3 linked regions of the Arabidopsis thaliana genome follow. The protein of the gene in region 2 interacts with the protein of the main gene of each other region in a pairwise test. Each region holds a gene or a part of one and is shown on either strand. Other genes may lie near its edges.

Evidence for each region.
Region 1: the proteins of PAB8 (region 2) and AT1G80000 interact in a two-hybrid assay, tested with the Arabidopsis thaliana proteins (one large-scale study listed by BioGRID).
Region 3: the proteins of PAB8 (region 2) and AT4G14270 interact in a two-hybrid assay, tested with the Arabidopsis thaliana proteins (one large-scale study listed by BioGRID).

The regions. Positions count from the first base shown.
Region 1 is NC_003070.9:30,089,699-30,098,305, reverse strand, and holds AT1G80000 (CASC3/Barentsz eIF4AIII binding protein), read right to left. Parts: upstream 5,500-8,607; 5' UTR 5,112-5,499; coding exon 4,645-5,111; intron 4,334-4,644; coding exon 4,234-4,333; intron 4,069-4,233; coding exon 3,863-4,068; intron 3,778-3,862; coding exon 3,098-3,777; intron 2,875-3,097; coding exon 2,772-2,874; intron 2,534-2,771; coding exon 2,414-2,533; intron 2,014-2,413; coding exon 1,961-2,013; intron 1,830-1,960; coding exon 1,769-1,829; intron 1,638-1,768; coding exon of another isoform or gene 1,628-1,637; exon of another isoform or gene 1,592-1,627; coding exon 1,564-1,591; 3' UTR 1,401-1,563; intron 1,316-1,400; 3' UTR 983-1,315; downstream 1-982. Other genes in the region: FRS8 (FAR1-related sequence 8), read right to left, coding at 1-550, 655-741; AT1G79990 (coatomer subunit beta-2), read right to left, coding at 6,357-6,379, 6,658-6,823, 6,957-7,086, 7,327-7,433, 7,535-7,628, 7,711-7,907, 8,011-8,082, 8,167-8,281 and 1 more. UniProt on the Arabidopsis thaliana protein: Core component of the splicing-dependent multiprotein exon junction complex (EJC) deposited at splice junctions on mRNAs.
Region 2 is NC_003070.9:18,413,765-18,421,513, reverse strand, and holds PAB8 (poly(A) binding protein 8), read right to left. Parts: upstream 5,040-7,749; 5' UTR 4,775-5,039; coding exon 4,480-4,774; intron 4,149-4,479; coding exon 4,030-4,148; intron 3,894-4,029; coding exon 3,237-3,893; intron 3,152-3,236; coding exon 3,074-3,151; intron 2,973-3,073; coding exon 2,883-2,972; intron 2,792-2,882; coding exon 2,657-2,791; intron 2,580-2,656; coding exon 2,385-2,579; intron 2,297-2,384; coding exon 2,093-2,296; intron 2,004-2,092; coding exon 1,761-2,003; 3' UTR 1,403-1,760; downstream 1-1,402. UniProt on the Arabidopsis thaliana protein: Binds the poly(A) tail of mRNA. Appears to be an important mediator of the multiple roles of the poly(A) tail in mRNA biogenesis, stability and translation.
Region 3 is NC_003075.7:8,215,366-8,220,356, reverse strand, and holds AT4G14270 (polyadenylate-binding protein interacting protein), read right to left. Parts: upstream 2,275-4,991; 5' UTR 1,936-2,274; exon of another isoform or gene 1,860-1,935; 5' UTR 1,841-1,859; coding exon 1,579-1,840; intron 1,490-1,578; coding exon 1,320-1,489; 3' UTR 1,050-1,319; downstream 1-1,049. Other genes in the region: AT4G14272 (Defensin-like (DEFL) family protein), read right to left, coding at 371-556, 679-735; AT4G14260 (hypothetical protein (DUF295)), read left to right, coding at 2,786-3,585, 3,697-4,036.

The sequences.
Region 1 (8,607 bases), about 12 Mb from region 2:
CAGGAGAAGCTGAGGAGGAGGATTTCTTGTGAGACTTGGAATTGTGGGCACGTTGAGGATCAAAGGAGTGGTTGTGGTCGAGTTTGACTTGATCAACTTTCCATCGATCAAAGTGGATGAGTCGAAGGCGAATCATGGCCTGGCAGCCGGTGCGGGTCTCCTTTCTCCGGGAGTGAGCATCTTTAAGCAGCTTGAAACCTTGGCAGTTGCAACACAAGACAGCACCACGTTTCTCCTTGCTGTTACGCTTAGTCCAGGAGGACTTGACGCGGATAGCAAAACCGAGCTCACGGGCGTATGAGTTGTAGAAACTGTAAGCATCATCGTAGGACTCGAACTCCATTCCAGGAGTAGGAGGAGGAGCCATCAAACACTTTTCATTAGCAAAAGCGTTTTCGTCGCATCCAGTTTCTTCTTCGTGATTAGGTGCGATATGAAGCAAGCCGTGACAACAGGCGTCATCATCATCTTCAAGGTCAATATCGAGATCAGGGATTGGAGGAGGAGCAAGGTCATCATCATCATCATCAACAACCAGCTGCTCTTCCATCTGAAGACCATCAAATTCAAAATTGAAATCGAAATCGGAAACCCAAATTGAAATCAAAATTTGTAGTAAATAGAGAGAGAGAAAGGAAGACAGTAGAAACCAACCGCCGAGATGCAGAGATTAGGGTTGGGCGAGAGAGAGTGGTCGGACGGTGACGGTGACGGTGAGATGTAGACGCTATTACCGATCATCTTCCACTAAACTAAAAACTAAAATCAACAAACAAACAACAACAATCGTTTCATCTCAGAGGACGCTGAGCTACCTGAATCAACGGAGACTCTATCCCTTTTTTTTTTTTTGCTGCGCCAAGGAATAAAGTTTCTATACACTTGGTTTGTTGCATCTATTCTATGCGGTCTGTTTTGTTTTTGTCGCATAACTAAATAACCAGAGCGGAGGCATGTCTTTATATATATGGTAACAATTCCTCAATGACTCATTTCTCACGAATCGGGTAAATTTGACTGAGCACCACCACTATCCCCTTGCGTAAAATATAAAACATAGACAACTAACTACCATCAAAACTCAACATGGGCAATTCTTGGGGGGACTTCGCAGGCGTACGAATAGGGCACACAACTTTTGATAAAGAAGTTGACAAACGAAAACAGAATAACACATATCAACATTACAAAATATCAATTTGAACCCAAACGGACAAAAGAATAAATTACAGATGAAGGACGCCCACGGCTCAAGCTCAAGCTCTCATAACAACGAAAACAAAACAAAAATTCTTTTCAATTGCACAACAACCTCCTGAAAACAAAACAGCAAACACAAGTTCAAATTATAATGTGGTTAAAACCTCTCTTCAATTGGTATCTTGAGAGAAATTGCGTACCTAATAAAAATAGGTAACAATAATAGCAGCCCAAACGGCTTCATAAAGCAGTTGGAGAAGCACCAAGGGCCTGCTGCTCCTAAGGAGCTCTTCTCTCTCACCCTCCTCCTTTCACTCCACTTAGTCAAATTAGATGACCTTCTTCCTTTCCACTCTTCTTTACTCACTTGCTAAAGCTCATCTCCGAGTATCTGCACATCCCTCGTCAACATGTGCTCGTTAGTGTTTCATTTCATCCTGGACCAATATTAACATTTCATTTCCACAAATATCTGTATCCAACTACTCCTGTGGTACTTTGATTTCAAGGTGGTTTCACGTCACACTAACACTGACCGATAAATAAACTAGATTGCTTCAAAACTCACCTACGAGGCTGCTTGTTTGGGTTGCTATTTGACCGTTGAGAATTCCCATTGTTCGTAACCTCTACATCAATAAACCCCCATACGAATCAGTCTCTCCATGTAATCATTCAAATTTCTTATTCGCCAAAACACAACAAAATCTTCTGAATCCATTATAACAACCCCATTTAATTGGCAAGAGTTATTACTTACCAGGTCTCTCCATGGGCTCTTCATCATTAGGATTATTGGAACTGTTCTCTTGGCTGCAACAAAAAATCAAAAATATAAGGTAATTGGGTACTTGAGCTCAAATTATATGCTTTACTAGACGCTCATAATCAGAGATGATTGACATGGTTACATGAGTGCCCAACCAAGAAAGTGAGTCTGTTTAATGAAAACTACATGTTTCTGGGTGTACATAGTCGAGAAACTACTAATCTAAGCACTTAAGAAATGTAAATCTAACAGGTAACAAGCATTTTGCAGTGGGTCTAGAATAAGAGGAACCACAAATCTAAAATCTCACATACGTTACTTAGTTAAGGGCTTAAAGCTGCATTCCCATACTACTCTTCCTCTAAGGTAAAAAGCAAAGAGTCTACACATATGCATATGGAAATGACATGTTGATTAACAATACTGAGAAAATTATTTCTAAACCTGGACGATCCGGCAGAGGAAGGTAACCCTGGTTTGTCTGCTTGGTAAGAACCATCAAGGACAGTATAAGGTGGACAATATGAACCCCCTAATGCTCCAGGGCCAGCCAAAATTGGCAGCCTGTCAATAATTTAAGAAAATAATAGCAGTAATAAGGACCTACTATAGATAGAGAAATAGGGAAATCAAACAAAAAACAAACAGCAGACGAGTGAAAGCAATAATTCAGGTTCTGTTTGGGCTAGTAAAAGACTAGTTACAAGATTAAACATCCTCTCAAATTACAAAAGCATGCAGCAAGTCAACTAAGAATGCACCAAATATATAACTTTTAAAACATAGCTGTGGAACTGCATACCATGTCATCTCAGGATTTCCGGTACCATGTTCTGGTTGGAAATAACCTGGAAGAGCCATTCCAAAAGTTGGAACCCCACCATGCTGACCACCGAATTGCATAACTGAACATGAAAATGAAAACAAACAAGTTTAAACTAGTCAGGCGTGCATATTAGCACCTGTACAAAAAGGTGCCGTTCTCAAGCGGCCCTAGACATGGGCAACCAGGCCAAGCGGCTCAGCATCAATAGCTCTCAATTTCACTAGCATGCATAGATTGATTCTGAAAGATGTCTTTCAACCATTACAATGTAGGATGAACAATGACATTCAAGAACAACTTACCAGGTAGAAAAGCAGGGAAATTTGGATTGCCGTGACCAGCTGCCATCCCGGCAGGGCCCATAAACTGTGTCCCTCCATACATAAAAGATCCCCTTCCACTAGGTTGGAGAGACCCTTTTCCCTTGGCAACCAAAGCACCTGTTTCTACGGCTGACTCTATTTCACCAGAAAGATACGGATTTTCTGATGATCCGGTTTTTGGAGGAGAAGAAGGCAGCAAACTGATAACAGCCGAATGTTGATTAAAAACCTGACCAGGAAGTTGAGTACAGCTCTGGTCAGTGCCTTTAGGCATTCCACGGATTTGCATCGGCGAAGAAACTTTGTCACCTTGATTAGGAGATTGCTGGTAAAGCACTTGCCCATGAGGAGGTACACCTCTACCATGACTTGTAGTCTGAGCAGTGCGTCCCCACAAGGAGCTGGATTTTGTATTCCCAAACTTCTTTCCAGTCGGATTAGGGTTTTCATTAATGTGCAGCCTACCCATGCCAGCTTGTACATCCTTTTGTGCCAAGTTATTGTTGGATCTTGAAGGATAAAATGGAGGAGAAGCTGAATTTAAACTTGAAGCAAATACATTCTTTTTGGCTTGGATGGCTTCAGTCTCTAAGGTAGCTGTTTCTGTTGGTGGACGCCCTAAATCAACGTGTGACACTTCCACAGACGAATTTTGGGACCTAAAGATTCCGTAAAAAGACACAACAATTAGAGACCTAGAGCCTTCATGTGTTGACTAGAGAGGAAACAAAATTAAGGACTCACTGTTTGGTTTGCACAGAAGGTGCTTGATTCCCATTTCTCAATGCAACCTCATATCTTCTGGCCCCCCTCCCTCTCGTGACAGCCTTCGGAAACTGATTTTGGTGTCCATTGCCAGTAAATTCTTTAGAATTGTTCCCCCGAGACTGTCCACGGTCCTGACCCCTACCCTGACCACGACCTCTGCCTCGGCCTCTCGAAGTCCTCCTCTATGTTCACAAGTTTAATTAATCAGCTTTCAAAAGGAAAAAAAAAAGGAAAAAGAAAAAAGAGGTGGCAAATGTATAAACACAGCAAGAGGAAACAAGTCGATGAATACAAATATATTTATGAAAAGGAGAGAAAGAGAAAGAGAGATGATCAGAGAAAAGTACATCATATTGCTGTTTCTGTGTATTCATTTCCTCGAATTTGTCATGTCCCCACTTTCTTTCATCTCTGGATTGCCAGAGCCTCCTACCACCACGCATTCGCCTACAGAAATAAAAAACGAAAACCTATATCGGTTGGCATTACCATGTAACTAAACAGAATGTTAAATGGAAAAATAGCAGTGTGATGGCATCTCGGGTAGATTCATACATAAAGATTCACAATCAAAGTTAAAACATAAAACCAAAGCAGTTGTTCCAATCTATCTGAACTCTGAAGTACATCATGAGATTGAATGACGGAAAGTCGTTTGCTAATTTCACCTATCAATGTACTCTACCTCAATAGTAGATAGATACATTTGCATAGTTTGGACAAAACACTACCTCCTCATAGAATCAAAAAGAGTTTACCTATTAGAGGCGGCATCCAATTCCTGAAATCTGTCATCATGCATATAGAAAGCTCCAGCAGTAGGCACTGCAAAAGGTTCCTTCTTCTTTTGTTCCTCTCCATCCACAAGATCAGTGGCGGCAGAGTCATCGGTCCCATTGCCGGCGACAATTGTCTTGTCATTATTATCCGCAATGTATTCGACATGGTCATCAACTTGTCCATAATCACCATCTTCCTCTTCGTCGTCATCATCACCATAACTATCTTCTATGTGCAATCCTTCATTATCATCAGAGTCGACAACAACAACACCACTGTGTTCATCGGAATGAATCTGGATTGCTGCTCGCAGCTTATCATGGTCGTCCGCTTCTTCATCATCCTCATCATCATCGCTGGCTTCTCTCCTCCGTGTAGCCAAGGAGCGGTTCAACTCGTCGGGATCACTCTCATAGTCGGAGTCTTCAACGCCATCAGGGGCCATCAATCCCTCTAAATCGGAGGGCCAAACCGAAAACCTAGAAGAGGAATAAATTGAATAGAGCAATCAATCGGATATGGGACAAACTAGTATATCTCTACGGAGAGAGACGACGATACCAGGAGATCAGAGCGAGAGAATCTCCTCAGTGTTTCTTCATGAGAGATCCGCAGATAGATAGATAGAGAGATAGATAATTATAATAAGAAAAAACCTCTTAAAGATTATTAAGATTGATTGGGTTTACTTTGTAGACGGGAAGACTCTTTCCGTTGGGTCTTCTTATCAAATCGAATGGGTTTTTTACTACTTGTAGACTGATGATGATGCACCTACAACATTTGACGCTTGAGTTCTTTTTTCCCAGTTTTTGGGAATTATCCAACTTGACTACTTTATTAACTTTTTTTTAACCAACAATACTAATTGATAAGTTTAATACAAATTAGCTCTACCTTATCACTTTTTCTCTCAACTATTGTTGTCTATTAATCCTGACAAAAGTGACCATGTTAATATAAATAAAACATGTGGTTTCTATATAAATCAAGGGTATATAACTCCATTGGTCAACAACTTGAATATCAATCAAAACCGGAAAATTAACTTCCATAGGTGCATGCAAGTGTGTAACTCAATGGAGTAGTTGAACCTATACACAGTTTGCAGTAAGAAGCAACAAGAAAATTTAAAATCATTTCCAAGACAAAATGGGTAGAAGAATAATGATATGGTGATGGTGATTACGGACAGTGGAAGAATGCAAGGAACTTTGTTTTGGGTCCTTGTTTGCTTTGAGAGATGTTTCGAGATGCGTCTCCTCCACAATACTAATAATAATGCACCATGCGTTATCCTCTGGCTCTTTCCCAACTTATCCCTTCACTTTGATTATTTCCAATTAAGTTTTTTGCTACTGCTATTGAGTTTTGCAAAAAAAAAAAAGATATCAACTACATAACCTATTGAATCGAAAGTCAAAACATATTATATGGGTGAAATCTCAGTTCAAAACAGATATTCTACAGGTGAAATCTCTCATAAGTTAAAGCTACATAAGAGTCCCAAAACCCCCTTTTTTTTTAATATGTATCTGTATTAAAAGCACAAAGCGGAAGCTATCAATAGATCAGTTTTTTAACAATGGAAACTAATCTCTCTCTGTGCTGCCTCATTTCTCTGCTGAATGTATCAAGTTTCAAAGCCAAGAAAATATCTATCTGTGTATGTCTTCACTCTTCACCAACCCTACTCTTGTGGCGGTGTTAGAACTGTACAACAAACAAATATTTAATCAGTCCACGGATTGATAAAAAAGTTAATGGCATAGAGAAGCACTATTTAAAAGACAGTCAACATCAAAAGTAAGATGATCAGTAAGACGAAGATGGGAGGCAGACAGATGAGGAAACATTGATGGACAGATGCAAACGCAAATCCTATGATATATGTGCAGATGGCAAAAGGATATTTTGGTGCAGCGACATCTTATAATCAATTGATAACCACAAATGCTATAAGGCTGATGCGGTTCCTTCACTAATCTTACCCCACTGTTCTTCAGACTCGTTACCATTAACTAGCACAGCACCATCCGTAGAGTCAGCGTCCACCACAACAGCCTCTTCTTCCACATTCTGCTGTCTCCCATCACTACTCTCTTCCTGACGATCCTCCTCCTCCTCTTCCTCTCCATCTTCCCCCTCTTCCCCAACCTGTTCACAACAAATGAAGCAGCGACAGTAGAATTAATGATCCTACCATTGTCCACCATGGCCAAGACCATTGGATTGGATATCATGGGTAAAAGACAATCCTCTTCAATGCATGTAATGTAAACATGCATACCTCGTCGAGAACATCCCCTTGCTCAAGTCGACCCTCTTCCTCTATTTGCATAATTCTAAAAGCATCCACTAAAGTTGTATGATCTCTGTCTGCATGACTACAATAATCCCCAGCAGGAGGATGGACGCCCCTGCAAGATAAGTCAACAAAAATACTTTGTTTATGAGGATCCTGAAAAAATGAAATCGACATTCGGCTTATGTTTATACGGGTATAAATTCAAATTATAAGCAAATACATGACGGCTACCTTGCTATGTAATACAGACACATGACTCTAAATGGCTTAAGTCCCACAATTCAATTAAAAAGGTTTCCTCATAAGCACTGTTTTTAAGAATAAGCTAATGACGGCAACGACGAAAAGATACCTCGTCTCTGCAGCTCTATTTTCAAGGGACAGGGCGACTTGCCACTCCTCAAAGAGATTGGGATACTCTTCGGGATCAGCCAGAGATTCAGCAGCCTTTGGACTTATCTATATCCAGATTGACAGAGGATGAAGAAAAATTGTGGATATCTCAACAGGCAAGGTTTGAAATTCAATCACAAGGTGCATCGGATGTGTCTACCACTAACCTTGGTCAAATCGTTTCTCCACAATGCCACTATTTCGGAGACCTTGCTTGGAAGGTACGATCTCGCCATCAGAGCGGCTTCAGGTATTCGATTACTGTAACCATATTAATATCAGCATAGACGTAATTAGTTGCGGGAATATATGTTCCACATGTAAGAAATAGTAAACAATGTACCTTTCCACCAACAGATGCAGGCAGTCTTCTACTTGACCCAACATGAACAAGCAAAGAAAAGCGACATTGTTCTTTCCTTGCTCTTTTGCAAGTGCTGCCAGCTTCATCATTCCATCTGCATCTCCCAATGAAGAATAAAGCAGCAGCAGACCACTCAAATCCATAGCATGCCTCATGCATTCCTCAGCCATATCCAGCTAAGTAGTCCAAGCATGGGAAGGAAAATGAAAAGAAAAATACATGTTAGCTTTAACCTTTGTAAGAATCCTAGAACACTGATTGCAGCTAAAAAATGGTCACCTTCCCACTTGACATAGCTAATTCTCCAAGTTGCTTCCATTTAGATTCATTTTGTGCCTCTACAGCAATGTCCTGTCAAAAAATAAGAATCGAGTAAAAACATATCGGTAAGTCATGGAAATAAAGCTTCTCAAATGGTAAAAACTACAGACTAACCTTTGCGACAGCCAATCTACCGAGCTGTATGGCCAACTCAAATCTGTAGTCAGGATCAGTTGCTACTTCTAGAGCATCTTCTGTCATGCCACGTGACTCCAAAAAGTGTGCCACGCTGACAAAACGAACAGGATTTTGAAGTCGAGAATCAGAAAAGTAGGAATGCGTGAATTTAGGAAAACAATTTAAACCATTATGTGACCTTGGATACATGTTTACTAACACCATAATCCAGCTGTAACCATAATGCGAGGGAAAGCACATTCTCATACCTATTATGGTGCTCCTTAGGAATTGAAGGTAAGACTTCATTAGCCTGTTCCAAATCTCCACGCATCACAAGAGTCTTGTACTCAATCAAACTTAAAAGTAAAGTGTATCCAATAACACTGTAATCATAAAGTGGACACAGAAGTCAGTAAGTTACAAAACATTGTTAGC
Region 2 (7,749 bases):
TTTTGTTTTGCCATACATGACTTCAACTGCTCTTCTGCTAAAATGGATAACATGAAAAGCATTTAGGCCCGTATAAGTAATAAGATGATATCATATACAGTAAAAACTCCATAAATTAATAACGTTGGAATAATTCATCTGTTAATTTATAGAAATATTTACGCAAAATATAATATTATATTATTTCTTAATTTTTTTTTTACTTCAATTTTTTTATACTTTGTTGTTTGCATATTTCATTATGTTAAAAAAAAAATTATTTTTCTTTAGATTTTGAGAATCACATTCAAGAATTTGAAGTTATGATTAACAATTTTGGTTATCGAAATAGAATTGATATCAATATCCTACTCGATTATTCGGGTGAAAATAAAGCATGTTTAGAAGTTTATAGTTTAAAAGAAATTATAGCTTTTGTTTGTAATGTTGGTAAAGAAGTTGAAGACGATAATGTAGAATTTTTGGAAATAGTGACACGTAAGGAAGCAATTATCGCATCTACAATTTTTCACAATTTTTGGATGTAGATCGAGAAGACAACACCAAGAGTTTTTGATGTAATAAGAAAATTAGAGATGAACTTCAACGAGATTCGAACTTTTAGAAAAGACAAACAACATTAGACTTATTTTATATTAGATTATTTTAGAATGTATGCTTAAGATTTATGATATTATTGAGACCATATTTTTACATAGAGATTTAAAAATATATATATATATATATATTTTATGATTTTAGTTAATTTTTATATTGGTCCAATTTAGGACTGGCAAAATTAATTAGTTTAAAGAGTTTATTAATTTATCGAATTTCTAGTGTATGTTAGACAATTGCAATTCTAACTCAATTCAAATCAATAGAGGAAAGGAGATGTTAATAGTTTCGACTATACGGCTGTTTCCAACGATTCCCAAGATGCAAAGGAGATTGATCCTCTGCCACCAGGTTTGGTCTTCTTGAATGTAGGAGACAACGAAAGCTTTTTTACAAACAATTTGAAGATAGCGAGGGTTTTGATGTGAACTAGGATAGTTTTAACTACGTGTTATCTGTTGTTAACTTTGACTGGAAACCATCTATAGATGATAAACAGAGCAATGAAGAGCTGCTCAAATTCTCATAGAAACAGCCATCAAAGAACACGATGAAGAATATGGAACAAAACTCGAGTATGTCAATTGTCAAGTATGTGAATGCAAATATTACTACATGCATGGGTCTTATGAATTATGTAACACTTTCGGCTAGAGACCTTATCTCATCAAAACCAAGAGCTTAAACTTTACCAAGCAAAGGCCAAGTTTCGTGATGAGATATAGGTTGTTATGGTCAGGCCAAGGCCAATTCAGTAACTAAGTCGATAAGGTTATTCCAAGGCCCGTTTGATTTCTCCCAGTCTGTTTTCGGAAGCAAGAATAATTTCCTAGAAAAGCCCTGTAAACTTATTGTTACATTGATCATTCGAAGCTTTTAAACCAAATTTTATACCCAAAAGTCGAAACTCTAGACAAAAGCCAAACAATACCCTATCAAATGAGCAGTGTAGGTAAAAAAAGGTGAGAGTAACGATACAAAACTTCCCAAAGTATTAAGAAAATCAAAAACACAGAAGGAAAATGTTAAAACTCTCGCCCAAAACAAAAACTCAAAAATCCAAAACTTTCAAGAACAACTCTGTTTCTGATTCTCCAAAAGAACAAAATAAACACTTTTACAGTGTATATAAACTGAGCTCTTTCAGATATAACTTAGAACTCTCAAGGTACGATGTTGTCTCCAAGAGACAGAGAAGCTAACTGATCAGCTGCACCACCCGCTTGCTGCTGTGCTACACTCCTCAGAACATCCATTGCTTCTGTAACTTTAGCTTTAAGTGCCTCTGGTGATTCCAGCAAGTGAAGTACTTCGGTTTGGTCCATTTCAAGAAGCATTCCCGTGACTTTAGCTGCGGATTCTGGCTCCAGCTGCTCCACAAGCGGGTATAGATTCTCACCAAGCATCTGTATAACGAAGAAACATAACAGGTTTAAGAAAGACACATTTTTCTTAGTTGTTTCCGAGCTGTTAGAAACAAATCATTTGACTTTACCGTTCTCTGTTGCTCTGGAGCTGCATTCGCAAGCCGTGTAGCCAAAGCTACAATAGGAACAGGTTGAGAAGTAGGCGAGTCACGATGATGCACACCACCACCACTTGAGACGTCATATGGAACAGAAAGCATGTTTTGAGTAGGACCAGGCATTGTGTTTACATCTCGCTGAGGATACCGATACATTCGACCTCTTGGATGCATCTGTAGAGAAACAGATTGATGCAAAATGTAAGCATGCTATCGATTTTAAACATGTGGAGAAAGTCTTGGGCCTAAAGCAAAACTTAACCTGCTGCTGCATCATAGGAGAAGGTTGTTGTGGTTGTGGAAGAGCTCCTCTTCTACCACCACCAGGTCGCTGCTGCTGCTGTTGCTGCTGTTGCTGTTGCTGGCCTTGTTGCATCATAGGCATGAAGAAGTTTGGCATTGGAGACCCACCAGGTCTCATACCCGGTACAAGCTGTTGTTGATATCCGAATCCAGGCTGTTCGATACCCAGTTGGAGAAGAAAGTTATAAAGATTGGTCTCAAATGTTTTATGCTTAAAGCTTTGAGCTTTACCTGAGGAATCATAGCAGGAGGCCCTTGACCATAGAAGAGTTGCTGACCCATTGGTGGACCACCTGGTGGATACATTTGCATCCTAGGACCAACCGCAGGTGGCATATTGACCGGCCTCATCTGTGAAAATTGAGCCTAAAATGCCAGAGAGGTCAAATTAAGCACGATAAGCATGGGATTAGGATAATCCTTTTCAAGGATAACAACATGGGTAAATTAACCAGACCTGTAACCTAGCTTTGCGGTCTTCTTTCCGCTGCGCAAGAGCAACATATAGAGGTTTGGTAACGATCATTTTTCCATTCATCTCTGTAATCTGAAACATTGAAAAGAAGACAGTGTTAAGCATCAAGATCCTTCCAGAGAATAGGAGATCACCAAAATTTGACATGTCTTCTTTATATTCTAGTCACTTACAGCTCTAGTTGCTTCCTCAGGAGTTGAAAATGCGACAAATCCAGATCCTCTACTCACTCCACTGGGGTCACGCATCACCTGTCACGTTCAAATGTAATACATTTTAATGCAAATCTGCTGAAGATAGTAACAAGCAGCGCTTTTTATTGTATCAGTCACGGACCTTGCATGATGTAATAGTTCCAAAGGGAGCAAAATGTTCTCTGAGCTTATCATCTGTGACGCTCTCATCCAAGTTCTTAACATATAAGTTCGACCCCTGAGACTTGTCTGCAGCCTCCTTCAAACTTTGCTCAAACTTTTGTTTGAGTTCAGTTTCCCTCTCGGACTTCTTTTGGGCCTTCCCAACAAACCACTCCTTGTCGTCAAAGGTCTTTCCATTTAGAGCGTCAACAGCTCTGGCTGCATCATCAGAATTCTCAAAATTGACAAATCCAAAGCCTTTAGACTTTCCTTCACCATCTCTCATGATAACACAACTAGTAGTCACTCCGAACTCTCCAAAAACTTTGTTAAGCTCTTCATCACTCAAGGACTCGGAGAGATTTTTGACATAAACATTAGTGAACTTAACTTTCTCACCCGAAGGATCTCTCTGCAGCTTGTGAACAAAGGGTCCAACATAAACTTGCTTATCGTTAAGAAGCATTCCATTCAGTTTATCAATGGCTCCCTGAGCTGCTTCATCAGTGTCGTACTGCACAAACCCATAGCCTTTCGACTGACCAGAGGGATCAACGGCCACTTTGCAAGATAGAATGGGACCAAAGGCTGAAAATGTCTCGTGAAGTGCTTTGTGATCAATTGATTTGTCAAGATTCTGAGACACAGATAATAAACCATGTCAATAAACAAACAAACTTTGAGATAGGATATTAAACAAGCCAAGGTTTCTTTCCATCTCTGCATAGAAGTTCAAACTTGGACAATAGGAAAAAGAGATTTAATATATGTACCTTAATAAATATATTACCAACTCCGCTCTTACGGAGACTTGGATCACGAACAGAATACATAACTCTTATAGCCCTTCCATTAAGAGCCATGAAATTCAGCTCATTCAGTGCCCTGGAAGCTGTCACCAATCAGAAATATTAACATCAACATAACTCAAATCATTCATTTCTGTAAGAAGAATAACATTGAGTCTACTCATAACATTGAGGTCATAACTCTAACTCTATGACCTCAAAAGAAAACTATCCTCCCTAACAGCCAAATACCCTGAAAGCCCACAATGTTACCAAATGTAACCACTTTCCAAATTAACCTGAAAGCTTTCACCTTTTTTATAGAAAGCTCCCAAATTTAGATTAGCATTTGATATAACACATCAGTCCATACCCCAAATTCAGATGAGCTACAACGACTAAGTTACCAAATCAGATAAGCCTTAAGAAAGTTACCATCTTGAGGAGTTGCATAGTTAACGTAGCCATAGCCTAGAGATCTCCGAGTCGTCATGTCTCTGCAGACACGGACAGAAACCACCTGACCCGCTTGGGTAAACGCCTCAAACAGCTGTGAATCCGTCACGGTCGCATCCAGATCACCGACATATAAAGACGTCGTCCCTTGCTGCGCAGCTCCGGCAGCCGCCGCCGCAGCTCCAGCCGCAGCCGCCGCAGCTTCAGCCGCAGCAGCACCGGGAACAGCTACACCACCATTGGCATTTTGACCCTGATGCTGAATCTGAGCCATTTTTCGAGATATCAATCCGAATTACCTATCTATCTATCTTCTTCTCCTCTCCAAATCAGCTCAAATCAAAAGATAAAGCAGAGATTTTTAGGAGATGAATCCTCAACGCCGGAGAATAAAAATTGAGTCTTTGAATCGGAAGAAGGAAGGAAAATGGGGAAGTAACCGACGGCGAGAGTTGCAGCGTTGAGCTTAGATAAAAGGGTCAGAGGAAGTGACCTTATCAGAGAGAAGCTCAAATGAAAAAAAACTGCAAAGAGGAAAGACAACTTGGAGGTTTCAGTGTTTATATATGGAAGGTTTCACCAAACCCTAAAAGCTTTGATGGTAATTTGAGAAATCTCAGCCGTTGGATTTACACTGTAGTGTGTCTTGTTGTGGGTCACACACTTGTATAAAATATGCGTTGGGAAATATCTTACCATTTTATTTTATTTTATTGGGCAAAAGTATTTGTGCTCAAAAATATATAACCGTATTCAGACTAATGAGGAGTAATTACTAATGAGATTAGAAAAACAAGAATCAGTGTAAGTGTAGTGATGTTTTATTTAAGAAAATTTGTTAAAATTATTAGTATGTACTGTAGTAAATTTTCTGCAAGGTAAATTAGAAAGTGAAGTGATTTTTGTATAAAAAGGATAAAATATGAAATAGCTGTAGTAACTGTCAAAAAAAAATATGTTCGTTCAGACATATTTAATTATTATTAGTAAATACCATTGAATGACCATGCAAATTTATGAAAATAGCTAAGAAGTTGTAAAGTTTTTGATTAATTTGCAAAAAATATAAAATGGTGCTCTTTTTCTAAAAGAACACATAAAATTTTAAATAACATGCAGTTATCTAACAATTTGGTTATCTATCTCTCCACATACATGTGAATATGTGATGTAATGCATGAAACTAAAAACATGGGGGACTTTTTAAAAAACCTTTTCTAGCTTGCGTTATGAGAAAAGTTTTAAGAAGTTTCGAAATCGTTATGTTGCAACTTCATACCTCAGTCAAGGATAATAGAGGCTAAAGATAGTAGATAATTAAAAATGGGCCAACAAATCTTGTGAACCAGTTTCTTGATGTCTTGGAAAATTATGGACCGAAATTCTAGCCTGTATTGGGCCCAATCTTGCATAATTTAAAATTAGTCGATCGAACATAACTCTTTTTGCCTTTCTAACTGTTTTTAGTATCTCTTCAGCGTGAAATGTGTAATAACAATATCATCTCTTCTATTTTCAGTCAGAAGAAATTGAAACATGGTATACCGAAATCAGTTTATGCTAATTCAGAAGGTAAATTTTTTTAACAGATTGGTAACGACCGTTATTTTTGGCTTTAGAAGGTTTGACTTTAAAAATTTGAGGTACAAAGAATTTAGCTGTAAAGACTTTGGCTGTTAAAATCAGATTGGTAAAACAAAGTTGTAGAAGCTGTGACTGTTATTTTTTATTAGTAACAATAAAACTTTATTACTGATTTTTAAAAATATATATTATTCATTCATTTTTAAAAGACCAAACATTGCATTATTTATATTTATTGTTTCATGCACTTAATATCCAAACACTTAATATCCAAACACATTAATAATTAAAATACTCATCTTGAATGATTCTTATGGCTAAATTTTTTTCTCAAAACTGTTTTGAATGATTTTTTTGACTTATCATAAAATCAACAAATTTATTAATGATAATGAAATGACATCTAACTTTATTAGTGTTGATGATAAAAAATAAAATTATTATTAGTGAAATGGATCTTAAAAAAAAATTAGTAACTTGATAATAATTATTAATCAAAAACGTTTTGAAAAAAGAAATATGTAATTTGTAGAGAACTTTTAATTATGTTTAGAGAAGAAAACGAAAAGCTTTTAATTTGTTTTAAAAGCCTCATTTACGTGACTTTCAAAAAGAAAAATAAAGGAAAAAGAAAAAAAAAAGCTTTAAAAACTTCCAAAAAAAATAAAGTGAAAAAAGTCTGATTGGCAAAAAAAATACTACAAAGGCTTTAAAATCCATTTGAAGCCGTGAAAGCAGTGAAGCCGTGACCCTATGAGGTTATGTCAATGTTGTGATAATGTTGTCTATTTTCTTTCTCTATAAAGTGATAGTTATCATTAGTTGAAGAATGCTAGGATGTTATGTAAATAAGAAAGTTAAGCAATGTTTTCAGTAAATTTCTTTTAGCACAAATTTACTATTTTTAAGTGATGTCTAATCCAATTTCTTTCCAAGTTCAATTTTCTTTCTCTGCCCATATCTTTACAAACCATTATTTTTCGGGGTGAAACTAGTTTTGAGAACAAGTTCGAACAAATGGTTGAAACTTGAGTTGCTTTACGGTATAGTCAAATCATTTGAAAAAACCATGTTATTAATTTGGAATTCCGACTTTCTAGTCATACAAAAAAAACAATAAATGAAATACGAGAAAAGTAGTGAGTGAGAAAAGTGAAAATATAATATTCATACCTCTTGTTTCATATAACGTTCTACCAATCCTCTTGTTCCTGCATATTAAAAGTAACTCATATCAGAGGAGACATGTTGTATCAAACAACAAGCAACAACAGATAAACATTTATCTTTTTTTTTAGTTTCTTTTTTTAAAACCAAGTTGACTATGTTTTAGAGCATCTTCAATGGTGAGTTTTTAATATTAATTAATCAAAAATAATAATAGAAAAGGCAAGAGAATAAGAATGGTTCTTATTTTAAAGTATATAAAATCTTATTTAAAATCCCAAATACCACATATCTTAGTATAATGTCTTAATATGATTTGTTCATTTTTATTTATCACTTAAAATTTAGTTAAATAACAAAATTATATTTAAATAATATTATAATATTGATAAGAGACACTTGGTGAATATTTCACCATTAGAGATGCTCTTTCTTGTTTGTTGTTACAAAATAATACACCCATCCCCAACTATCCTTGAAAAATCACTGATGTTCTCT
Region 3 (4,991 bases), on a different chromosome or scaffold from region 2:
TATTCTTGTTTGAACTCTAAACCAAAACTTAGATCGGTTTGGTTTTTGTTTGATTTTCGAATTAATTTGGCATGTGTTGGAATTGGTATAGACCTACCATTTAACCATCAGTTCCCAAAAAAAAAAAAAAAAAGAGAGACTTAAACATACAAACGTTTAGGTGGTATATTTTGATTATTATATTTTTATGAAATTTTCGATTTTTTTTTGTTTAGGTGGTAAAAATGCGATCCATTCTTGTTATAGATTTTTCAAAAATTTGATACAGAAAAGAAGGGAAGAAACATGAAATTTGCACTGTTATTTAGACAACAAAATAATCCTTTTGTCTCATGCGTTATATTTTAGACTTGTATAATTTCTGGGATGATTATTTGTCTGCATTATAACCTCCGCTTTTCGCAACCATCAAGCAAAATTTCCAGCATTTTCCATCGTTTTGAATATCATCATCAATACCTGAAAGACATATTCCAATTTCCGAATGTTCTCTATTACACGACACCGGCTGCTTCATACTGTATATCCATGGCGTAATGTTTTCTTTTCCATTCATCTTTTCGGATCCTACTTTTAACCCCCAAAAAAATGATTGTTAAATTTACAAAATTTCAGAAAACAATATAACAATATAGTATTAGTACTAAAGAGTAAAAGAAAACATACCCACACTGCCACACATTGCATGAGAGCTGCAAATATAACCAAAGAGACGACAACATTTGCTCTTAACATGTTTTTTTTTCTTTTCGTAAAACGCTAATATCACCAATTGTTAATCCCTTTTTTCTTTGAATGAGGACAAAACAAAGGAGTTGTTTCAAAATTATAATCAAGTGCTCCTTTGAATGATTTACATAACATAGTAATTAATATAAAAAAAATTATTGTTTGATCAACCAAATTAAAGGTTATCCAAAATAAATTGGATTCCAACTTTTATGACATCATTATCTTCATATGCGCATGGTAAAGTTTTAGCTCAACTCTAACCATATTCGGGTTGGTTTGTGTTTAATACCCATTTTCGGTTTGGTTTGTGTTTAATACCGGTTTCAATATTGTTGTTAGATTTGGTTTCCAAAGACAAATGATACAATCCCATTTTAAACCGACCCAAACATTTCGATTCGACCTGGTTCGATTTCAATTTGGTTATGCTCATAACATAAAGTGATGTTATTATAGAAAGTAGGAATATTCACAGAATTACAAAAAACAAGAAAGCAGAAAAGATCAGATTCAGCCATAAACACAGACACGACTCTGATTATCATCTCGAAAGAAGAAGAAGAAGAGCTTTGTTCCTTCTAGAAGCTTCACCGTGGCTGATAGATATGATGATTCCGGCGACAATTAAAGTTCGGATTCATGTACTTCTTCTGATTATACTTTGGTGAACAAGACGAAACCTTCGATCTATAAATCTTCTCTTTCGTAGACTCCGCTATGTTCAAAAGCATCTTCAAATAACTAGCCACATCTGCTTCTGCCATTAAAACACACAAAAATCCTCAGATCTGAATGTTTCGAATCCCTAAATCTCAACTAATTTCAAAACAGTAAACAAATCGTTACCTGTAACTGTATCAGCCATGGATCCACCATCAGACGATGCGATCATCTCCTCGAACTCTTCTTCCATAACTGAGAAATCGTCGCCGCCGAGGAACTCATTCTCAGAGTTAGCACTGAGCCAAAAGTCACGGAACCATTTCGAAGTCGTTACTAGATCCCACCATTTCGGTGAAAAATCCTCCACCTCACGAAATTCCACCGGATCAAACACCGGCGCGTTTGGATTCAGCGTTGATAACCTCCGATCTATCGTCGCCGTCATCTTTCACCTCAAACTCACACTGAAACAAAGTCAGAAACTCAGAAATTCGAATCGATTCATAGTAATGAAATCGGAAATCAGAGTTTTGTCGTTACCTTTCGTTGATCAACGAGTCAAACTGGGTCTTAGAGCGAGTCTCACTCACGAGTCGCTTGGGCACGGTTTTAAAGAAGAGACAATCCGGTTATCCGGTAAAGAGTCACGGCCACGTGTGATGTAAAATATGAGGATCTGACGGTCATGAATGATAAGGGCGTGATCTGACGGTGGTGATGTTCACAATAATTGGGATATACGTTCGTTAGTTACTGGATAAGATATTTATTGTTCTTATAATCTTATTACTGTTTTGGAATTTGGATAAAACGAAAGATATTTTGTGTAGTAGGAAATTTCTAGAACGTAGAAGCCCATAAGCCCATTAAGCTAAAGAAAAAAAAAAAAAATCGAACGTGGTTGCATGAAAAGTTTTCTGTTTCAATTAAAAACATATCGAAAAATTAAAAAAAAAAGGGTAGAATATAGAGTAATTTGTATGCATTGATTTTAGGAAATGATTTTAGATTTTATGAATAAAACAATTTTTGGGAACAAATATTGAACAACAAATTCCACAGAAAAAAACAAAAATTATAATAAGATTTTAACGAGCTATTTATGGAATTTCTAAATATTCTCATTTATGTCTTGTACTTGCTGAGCAAGGATATTCTTATTAGTATTAAGTACAATAATGACACAGATTATACAAGAGACGAAAACACTTAAAGAAGTTCAACAATGGCACAGCTTATAATCAGCCGAGTCTTTAAACCCTCTGTCTGCAAAAACTTCCTCTTAAGCTTCTAAGTAATAAATTCATTTTTCTTTAACTTCTTCTTGTTATTGATATCGTCTCTGACTACTTGAACATATATATGGCAGAGACACAAAAATGTTGTTCGTATGTTCTCATCTACAACTTCTCACACAAGCGGGTGGGATTCGGATGACGAGACTAAAGTGACTCAACTCTTGTCGTCTGAACCAGCCTACCCGTTTTTATTGATTGAATACATCACTAACATCCAAAATTCTTCTTCGGATGGTCGCGTAATAGTATACGACGACGATTCTTCAAAGGGAAAGGCAACAAAAGTCACTATTAAGGACAAGAAACTCGAGAAGGAGGTCATTGAGGCGATGACTGTCGGATTTTTACGTGATGGATTAAAATTCTATCTTTCGTACAGAAGCAGCGACCATCAACCTGTGATCACTTATGAGACCTCCAATCCCAAACTAGAAAACTTGACCATTCATTTACCTTCTGTACCCACCGGTACCAAAATCCATAACCTAGCCATGTCCTCTATACCTGTTCAAGATAAAGATTGGGTAGTGGGTGTCAAATTATCGGGATCTCGGGTTAGTCTTTGCAGGCCTTTTGGCAGCTCTAAATGGATCAACATGAAATTCATGTCTCAGTGTATAAACCCTTTATCTAGCCTCATGTTCTCCAAGAGAGATCAAAGGTTCTACATTCCAAGTTACGGAGGCAACTACTTGTGCTACTTGGATCTCAACTCTAAGGAGGGTGATGATCATTTCAACTCTAGGCAGGAGAATGGGCAACCCAGCTTCATCGACTTGGATTATGAAAATCTTCCAGAGTCGGTGTTTAAGCAGTTGGCGGGAGTGAGTTCATGTTCCAAGACAGATCACCTTGTGGAGTCACCCACCGGCCAACTTTTCCTCGTCAAGTGGTATAGTATCTAATTAACTAGACATCTCTCATAACATATTTACAATATATCTTCATTTCGTTGGTGGTTTTTTGGCTTGAGAATCGTATTGGTTCTATCATGTCTTTGCAGGTTCGTGGAGGACGTGGAGGACCTTTGCGACAATACACCCATGCACGTAACAAAAAAGTTCATGGTGTTTAGAGCAAATGAGGCTTCTGACGAAAAGAAGAAGACTATGATCTACACAGAACACATTGGAGATCTTTGCATTTTTCTTGGACATAGTGAGGCTTTCTGCATCCCGGCTAGTACGTCGTGTGGACTCGAGCCTAACTGCATCTATTTTGTTGGCAATAACTTTGGTGTTTATGATCTCACCACCGAAACTTGCTCTACCTTTTACACTAGTGTAAGGCCACTAAAGAACGTTAGTTTCCCTTACTGGCCTCCGCCAACCCCTATCTACTAGTTCCTACTTAATTAACATGGCTCTTGCACGTGTATTTGCTTTCCCATGCTATCATTGAAATCCTATGTGCCTCTTTCAATATGTTATTCTTAGATTTTTTTTTTCTTTTGTCTTTTCCGAATTTGCCACTGCATACGGGTGCAAGAGAAAGATTATTGAAAGCCTATAACCAAAAGCAGTGGTTTTAACTTTTAATTTGATTAGGAAAAAACTAAAAAACAAGTGTTTTGTAATCTAGTGTTTGTGAATTCTTTGTTTTCCAACTTAGATCTATAAAGATAGATCTCAATATGTTCTTTAATGTAATCGTGTTATACTACAGTACATTAAAAGCAAAGAGTAAATCCCAAAAAAAATGGAAATATAGCAAACAAAACAAAAACCCGAAAAGGAGGTTCTTTTTTTTTATTTCGTTGAACGAAATTGGAGCCGACGTTAAACCGAACCAAATCGTATATGTCTACATTCGTGTAACCAGTGAAGAAGTCCAAGTCGCCAGTTCTCGGTTCTCTCGGTCTCTCGGTCTCTCCCCTGATTAAGATGATCGGAGAAGGCATCGAAAAAAAAAAAAAAAAAATGCCAACGGTAGTGACGTAGTGTAGAATCTTCAGGCTAAGGTCACAATGGTTCCATTTTCTATAGCTCTTGTCTTCATTGTCAAGGTGCTGTAGAGAGATCGTGAGAAAGTTAAACGCTTAAAGTACAATTGAAGCATATTTTTAGGCCTAGATCTATCGTAAAGGAGTTGAGCGGCATCGTGAGCAAGATTATAGGCCTATCGTCTCTGTGTGATTCATGTTGATGAAAAAGATCCAAAGGGCTTTCAGCATGAGATTCAAGGCTTGGTAGAGATTGATGTACATAAAATTATGGTTTTGGGGTTTGTTTTTGACGTTTGAACCATGTAATCGTGTTTTCTTCTATGAAATTTAAGATTTTATATTATTTTATTTAT